Linked DNA regions of Oreochromis niloticus. The protein of the gene in region 2 binds, or shares a complex with, the protein of the main gene of each other region. Links are inferred from orthologs where the notes say so. Each region holds a gene or a part of one and is shown on either strand. Other genes may lie near its edges.

Evidence for each region.
Region 1: the proteins of pex14 (region 2) and pex19 are in contact, whole or in part, in an NMR structure (PDB 2W85), measured with the Homo sapiens proteins. The link is inferred for Oreochromis niloticus from reciprocal best matches to the Homo sapiens genes PEX14 and PEX19. Residues at the interface, in NP_004556.1 of Homo sapiens: Leu28, Thr31, Ala32, Lys34, Phe35, Asn38, Ser39, Arg40, Val41, Ser44, Thr48, Phe52, Lys56, Leu58; in NP_002848.1 of Homo sapiens: Gln67, Phe70, Phe71, Leu74, Phe75, Ser77.

Annotation. Positions count from the first base shown.
Region 1 is NC_031982.2:26,257,274-26,261,026, reverse strand, and holds the start of pex19 (peroxisomal biogenesis factor 19), read right to left. Parts: upstream 3,018-3,753; 5' UTR 2,950-3,017; coding exon 2,886-2,949; intron 1,427-2,885; coding exon 1,338-1,426; intron 1-1,337. UniProt on the Homo sapiens protein: Necessary for early peroxisomal biogenesis. Acts both as a cytosolic chaperone and as an import receptor for peroxisomal membrane proteins (PMPs).
Region 2 is NC_031984.2:22,474,740-22,478,492, reverse strand, and holds the start of pex14 (peroxisomal membrane protein PEX14), read left to right. Parts: upstream 1-1,064; 5' UTR 1,065-1,169; coding exon 1,170-1,205; intron 1,206-3,564; coding exon 3,565-3,615; intron 3,616-3,753. UniProt on the Homo sapiens protein: Component of the PEX13-PEX14 docking complex, a translocon channel that specifically mediates the import of peroxisomal cargo proteins bound to PEX5 receptor.

The DNA.
Region 1 (3,753 bases), on a different chromosome or scaffold from region 2:
TGAGACAGGCAGAGAAAAAAACCCCAAAATACCTTATTTAGAAATAAGGAAAAACTGAGGGAGATGTTCTTCTTTTCACTCCATCTGAATTGAAACTGTTTTGTTTTTATGTTCTAGACCCGACTCTAGCTTACACTTGATGTAAACCTGCAGCAGTCTTGCTTCCTAATAGTAAAAGAACCAACATTTGAAAGCTCAAAACTAAAATAACACCGACACTTTCTAGTTTGCAGTTTTGGATAGAAAATTAACAGAAAAAGACAGAAAAGCACTGCTTTATCAGTCAAATATTGCCATCTGCAAATACTGATATTTACTGATATCAGGAAATAAGAAAGTTGCGATGTTTATCTGTTGTGTGACCTCAGTTTTTTTGGTGGTGAAATGTTAAAAAAAAAGTGATGAAGGACTGAAAAGACTTCAAATTGTCTCAGTTCTTTCTTTAAAATCAACATTTCCTAGTTTTCCTAACATTATGGGGAATACACAACAGTAATACACAACTGCCCTCTGGCAGACGGTACAGAAGCCTGCAGACCAGGACCACCCGACACAGGAACAGTTTCTTTCCCCTCGCCATCTCCCTCCTAAACAGTTGACCTGTCACACTGCTCCCCACTGCCAGACTGCAACTGCACCTTATGTACATTCTGTAGTATTCATTCCACCTCATTTCATTTCTGTATTTTATGTATATAAGTTTAGTTATTTATAGTTGGTTTACACAGCTTTGTGTATGTATGTGTATGCATGTGTAATGTATATATAGACGTGTGTGTGTGTGTGTGTGTGTTTTACATTGCTGTGCTTGATAGCCACCATCTACCGGAACCAAATTCCTTGTATTTGTCTGCACATATACTTGGCCAATAAACACGATTCTGATTCTGATTCTGAAAAAACTGAAAAAAAAAAAAAAAAAGTATTGGTATTCACTATTAGCCAAACTTTTATTTAAAAATTTGCCACCGGGACACCACCATGGTTGGACTCAACTCTGATGGAGATGAGAGAGCATACAGGACGGATGTAGAGAACTTGTCCCTCTGGTGCTTAGAAAATAACCTGAAGCTAAACGTCCTTAAAACAAAAGAACTCATAATGGACTTCAGGAGGCACAGACAGGTCCATTCCCCACTGATTATAAATGGAGAACGGGTGGAATCTGTCTCCACCTTCAGGTTTCTGGGCACCTGGACCCACAACACCATCACCCCGGTAAAGAAGGCCCAGCAGCGGCCGCACTTCCTCCGTGTCCTGAGGCAGAAAAATCTGAACCGGAAGCTGCTGCTGGCCTTCTATTCTAAACATTCTATTCTAAATTATTTCGCAAGCACCTTTTGTGCACCACTGCTGGCTGAGGACGAAGCGGCTGCAGGTTCAGGGGCTGGAGGGACGGACGCCTTCTCAAAGTCATCCAACGCACCTGAAAGAAAGCGATGACATTAGAACCAATTCAGTCAAAATGCATTTAATGGTTTCATATTCACTGACAAATAATTATCCAGTTATCCCATTGCTATGGGTTTGTCCCATTGCTATGGGATAACTGGGATAACTGATGGGCAGGATGTCAGCATATGACATCCTGCTGCAGCATATGATGCTGCAGCAATTTTTCTGAACTATAAAATTGTCTATTCTATAAAATTCTTGTTTTTAATCAACTCATTCTGAGTTCAAAATAAAAAAGGATTATTTTCATTATTAAAGAAAATTAGCAAAAGCATAATATATTCACATTTTAAAACACAAAGGCAGTGACTTTTTTTTTTTTTTACTAATCAATTAATCAACAATCACTTCATTCTTCAAACACTCATTTTGACCTTTAATTAGCAAAACACAACAACCTGCTTAATCTTAAACTGACCACAAGAGTGGCAAAGAAAGGTTATTTAAGTAACTTAGAATATGAAATGGTTGTTCAGAAACTGCTGATTTACTGGGATGTTCCCACACAACCATCACTGCGGTTTAAAGAGAATGGTGTGAAAAGAGAAAAGATCCAGTGAGCAGCAGTTCTCTGGGTGAAAATGTCATGTTGATGTCAGAGGTCAGAGAATAGCCAGGAAGCTTCGAGCTGACAGGAAGGCAACATTAACTTAAATAACCACTCAATGCAACCAGTCAACACAGAAAAGCATCTCTGAATGCAAAATACATCAAACTTTGAAGTACAAGGGCTACAGGGGCATAAGACCACGCCAGGTGAAATTCCTGTCAACGAAGAACTAATTTGAAAACTAGAAGCTTAGAAAAGGTTTGACTGGTCTGATGAGTCTTGATTTCTGCTGCAACATTTGGATGGAAGGGTCAGAATTTGGTGCACATAACACAATAATATGTTGTCTTATGTAAGACAAATGATGACTTTAAATTGAAGGAAAAATATATAAAGTGGTTTGAAGATTTTTAGCCCTTTTCTGATTGTTTTATTATTGTTATGAATGTCTTTTATATTGAAAACCTACTGTTGAGAAAATAAAACTGTATATAATTTAGCCTTTATACATATTTGGAAAAATAAAACACTTTAAATCCTAAGCTGGGTTGTTTTGAAAATTTGCCTTGAACAAAATATGTCGTTAAGGAAATTGACTCCGTGTTCTGTGCAGATACACGATGAAGGGCACAAACTGAACCCGGATAAAGTTATCTGACAGCAGAGACATGAAGCGATTCGTGCTGACGTTTCTTCTTGAACATTACTTCTGCAGATCTTTGGGACCCGGGCAGGAGCACCTGACGTTGAGCTAAGCCCTGACACGGTGGAAGCACAACAACAACAAAAAAGGACACGGCGACACCACGAAGCTGCACGAAAATCCCACTGCTGTGTTCAGAAATACACACACTGATAAAATATTAATGCCGAGTCTTACTGTCTAATAATTCTTCCAGCTCTGCATCGTGTCCATCGGACGACCCTCCTGTTCCTGACGCCATGATGTTGCCTTCTCCAACCCAGCGCGGAAACTGCCGCTTCTGCTGTAAAAATGTCGCGAACACCTCTACGTCACTCACCCGAGTCTGATTTTAAATGTAGCGCCGCCTCGTGGCCGGTTAAATATTTTACTCTGGAGTGTTGTTTAGTGTTATGGAAAACGCGCACACAAAAGCACAAATGTTTACATAATACTTCCTGTATTTAATTTCTGTTTTTATTAGAATTTATGTGACTTTTTAAATGTTTTCTATTTAATTGTGGTCACCCTTTTGTGTCATTTTCACTGTACAATTTGCCTTTATTTCATTGTTCTTTGAGATTGTCTTTATTTTAAAGTATCCTACTTTTATTAAATTATAAATATTTTACAGATTTTGTTTGGACATGGTGTTTATCCCATCTTCACCTCGTTGTTCTTATTATTACAATGGACAAATTCTGTATCTGTAAATGTCATTGATAAGAAACCACACTGCTCTGTACATTTAGTCAGTTTAAAACTCGCAAACATTAAACTACAGTTGTTTTATTTGAGAGTCCTGATAGAGAAGTATAGGGAAGATTAAAAGGACTTGAACTGTGGATCTAGCCAAAGCGTGTGATAGAATGAAGTCAGGAGTGGCAGAGAAGTGTGTGAGGGTGGTGCGGGACACGTATAAGGACAGTGAGACAGTGGTGATGTGTGCAGTTTAACTGATAGATGGGTTGAAGGTGGGGGTGGGATTATATCGGGGTTTAGCTCTGAGCACCTTCTTGTTTGGACAGGTTGGCAGATGAGGTCAGCCTGGAGTCTCTGTGGACGT
Region 2 (3,753 bases):
ACAAAGGAGGCGGAGCTGAAGGTAGCAAAATTGAAGATGTTAAGATTTTCATTAGGAGTGACCAGAAATTAAAAATCAGAAACTAGAAGTTAGAAATGAGTACATGATAGGGACAGCTCAAGTTGAGCAGTTTGAAGACAAAGTTAGAGAGGCAAGGCTGAGATGGTTTGAACATTGTGCAAACGAGAGGAAGTGGATATACTGGACTAAGGATGTTGAATGTGGAGCTGCCAGGCAAGAGGAAAAGAAGAGAATCGGAGAGGAGGTTCTTGGATGTAGTGAAAGAGGACATGCAGAGGGTTGTGTGACAGAAATGATGCTAAGGATGGGATGAAATGGAGGCAGATGATCTCCTGTGGCAACCCCTAAAGAGAGAAAAAGAAGACTGCATTATATGGTCCAAAAATGCACCACTTACATCACAATGTCACCTGAAACAATCCCTTTTAATGCTGTAAGTCTAGCATTTTGGGGTCTGACTTTTAGGGGGTTGCTGTAGCAAATGACTTTATAGTTTTATTTATTTGTTTTTCTTATTTATGAAATAGAGTAAATAAGTAGTATCTTCTTGCTGTGAATTCATTAAGTATTGTGATTTCTGAAGGGGCCCCGGGCAAAGCCATATTAAGCTATTATCTGGTGGCTGAATGCAAATCCGTTTCAACAAGTAGGGACTTACCACACCTCGTGACTAAGCTGTTGGCTTTGTTGTATAGATTTTTTTTCTTGTTCTTTAGGCGCAAGGGTGGGTTCAGCTGAGGAAATGATGAAGCTGACATTAAGTCTAAAGGTAGAATAGGCTCTACTATGACAAAAACAAAACAAACAGACAAAACAAATAAAAACAATTTACAAAAAATAAGTTTTCTTGGCAGTGAAAGAAAGACAGTCATCAACATTGACCACGCAGAAGTCTTAGTCTAAGATCTACTGAAGGTGTGTGAGCATGAGAATGTGCTATGAGGAAGCTGAAACCGAACTTGATGTGCTTTTATATTGTAGCGTTTCAATAACAGACAGTAAGAATGGGGAGTGAAACTTTGGAGTGAGACTCATCCTGCAGTGTCCCGTACTCCCCTGCAGGAGGCAGCAGTGCATCTTAAAGCATGTTGCGTGGTAGAAATATACCAGAATAAGAAGTGTGGCAGAAGGAACAGAAGAAGAAGAAGATGGCATCCAACGACCAAGCTGAGGCAACAACACAGGTCTCTATATGCATTAAAAGCGGTTTCTTTTTAATGTCTATTTGCGGTAGTGAACTGTTTTAGATATTTCGGGGCTTTAGATGTCTTAACGTTGGCATCACGTGCCTGGAAATGCTCACAAAGTTAGAGATTAGCATGCCTACTAGTTAGCATGCTAGCTAGGTTACGAGTCAAAAGTTGTCACTGAGACATGAGTGTGTTTACAAGTGGGCAGGAAGGGGCGTCATTTAGAGTTGCCATATTGTGTCGAAAATAATAGGGCATAGTTACTAGATTTGCCATTGTCATCAAACGATTCAGCTGTACAATTGCATCTGAGCGTGTAGCCTCGTCTTACTGTGTGCAGATAACTGTAGGTGCAACTCAAAGGTCAGTGTAGGCAAACAAACCTGATGGTTTCTGTTGGGTTGCAGTCACAGTGTTGGCTTTGAACTCACCAGCCCCCCGAAAACAAATGTCACCGAAGGTTTTTATTCATGTATGTCACCCGTGACTTCTGTACTTTTTGTTGCTACAGCTGAGATGCTGTTTTCAGAAAAAAAGATGTTTATATATGCTGTAGAGAAATATAAAAGTTTTTTTTATGTACATAGTTGAGAGCTAACGGCTTTAAGTGTATAGAAAGTGTTTACCAAATGCAGAAACTAATAAAGTCAAGGAACACTGTAATCAAGGAACTTGTGTGGATTGACAGTATTTACAAGTACTTGTAAAGTTATCACTCAGTTTATGAGCAACAGATTTCTACAAATCTACAAATGAATGCTGGCATGTGCCAGTTCAGTACTTTTTTTCTTTTTTGAAAATGCCATTCACGTAGCAGACAGGTCAAATTTCTCAGTGTGGGCAAATTATTTCTGGAAGTAAAAGAATCTGTTAAGCTATAACTATAGTCTAGTTATGTAAGTTGGTAGGCTTTCAAATATATTCTAAAATATTTATCTGACTCCACTTGAATTTGCTGGTTTCATGTTTGGACGTTACTTTTTATATAAGTAGCAATGACACTTTTAATAAAAGTTTCAACGTGACATAAGGCTGGAAGCATTTTCACATTACAGGCATGGGCCTGTTCAAGTCTACAATAGTTTTTCTGTTTCCCCTTCATCTGTGTGAGTTGCTTAGTTACAATAAACACTTTAAATACATTTTTATTGTTTTTAAAATTCTCTAAACAGTAACTGTAGCGTAGGAGTTAGAGCAGCTCATCTACTAATTGTAGGCATACAGACTGTTGCTCAAGTGTGCTTGCCAAAGTATCCTTAAGCAATTTCCTAACCCAAGTTGCTTTCTAATGTGTTCATCAGAATGTGTGTGAATGTTCCATAGAAAGTGCTAAGGCCTAGAAAAAAGTGTTTGTATGAATGGGCAAATGAAGTGCTTTGAGTGCTCAAATGGAAAAGCACTATATAAGAACCAGTCCATTTATATCATTAATGTTTTCTTTCCCAATCTTGTGGAAATGACAAATAGCCTTTTTTTATTTATTTATTTATTTTCCTGCCCATAGAACAAAATCTGTCCATATTTTACTACAAGCACTGCTCCATAAACGTCACAGTGAAATGGATACCCTTCCACAATCAACTTATTTGTGTTGTGAATTTTCCCTTCTTCACAATTTCTACAGTTTCCCATCTGTTACTGTACATAGGGAAATGTTTATGGAGTACAGCATGAAGCTAAACTCTTCACCATGATGAGAACAGGTTAAAAAACTTCTGAGTTATGACTGTAGTTAACTTTTGACAGAAGCTAACAGGAAGTTAGGTAGGTAGTTAGTTTGATGCTTGCAGCTGTTTCTAGAACTCTGTCTTCTGAGTTTATTACGTACCTGCAGAATCATACAGCAGCACAATGCATTCAAAAGCTTTTCAAATGCACGAGAGTTGCTCACATTTATGCACCCGACACCACAGAAGTAACTTCAGTCACAGTAAATTATCCCCAAAATTCAGGCAGTTTTGATCAGGATCTAGCAGCAGATAATATTGTGTTCTGTACTTCACACAGGCTCTGACAGGGTTCAGTCTGTATCTAACGGGGATCCTAATAAATGAAACTATTTTTAAGTGTAAGAGTTGCCTGATCAGTTTGCAAAAATTTGCCAAAATGCGAAAGAGTGCTGAAGCACTTTGCATAAATGTTGTTGATATGCCTGAAAGAAGCCGTGAGGCCTATTATTGTAAAAGTGTCCCATACCTGAATAACCGAATACTATCACTTTAATAGATAGAGCCAGCAACGTTACATACCGTGTGCTTGTAAAGGGCGACCATAGTTACCAAGCTTCAAACTGACATTACTTCTGTTTTCCACTAGATGGCACTCTAATACAAATGTTTGTTTATGTTCCCAGCCTGGCCTTCTGCCTGGAAAAGATGGAGCACGTAGCCCCAGAGAAGAACTGGTAAGAATTTATTCCTTAGTCTGAATTACATGAATTATTGGTAAGGAAACATTGACTGTAACCACAAAAACATTAAATGAAGCTAATGTAAGTAATGTAAGTGAGAGCTGGAAAGAAATAGCAGCTTGGATCAAACGA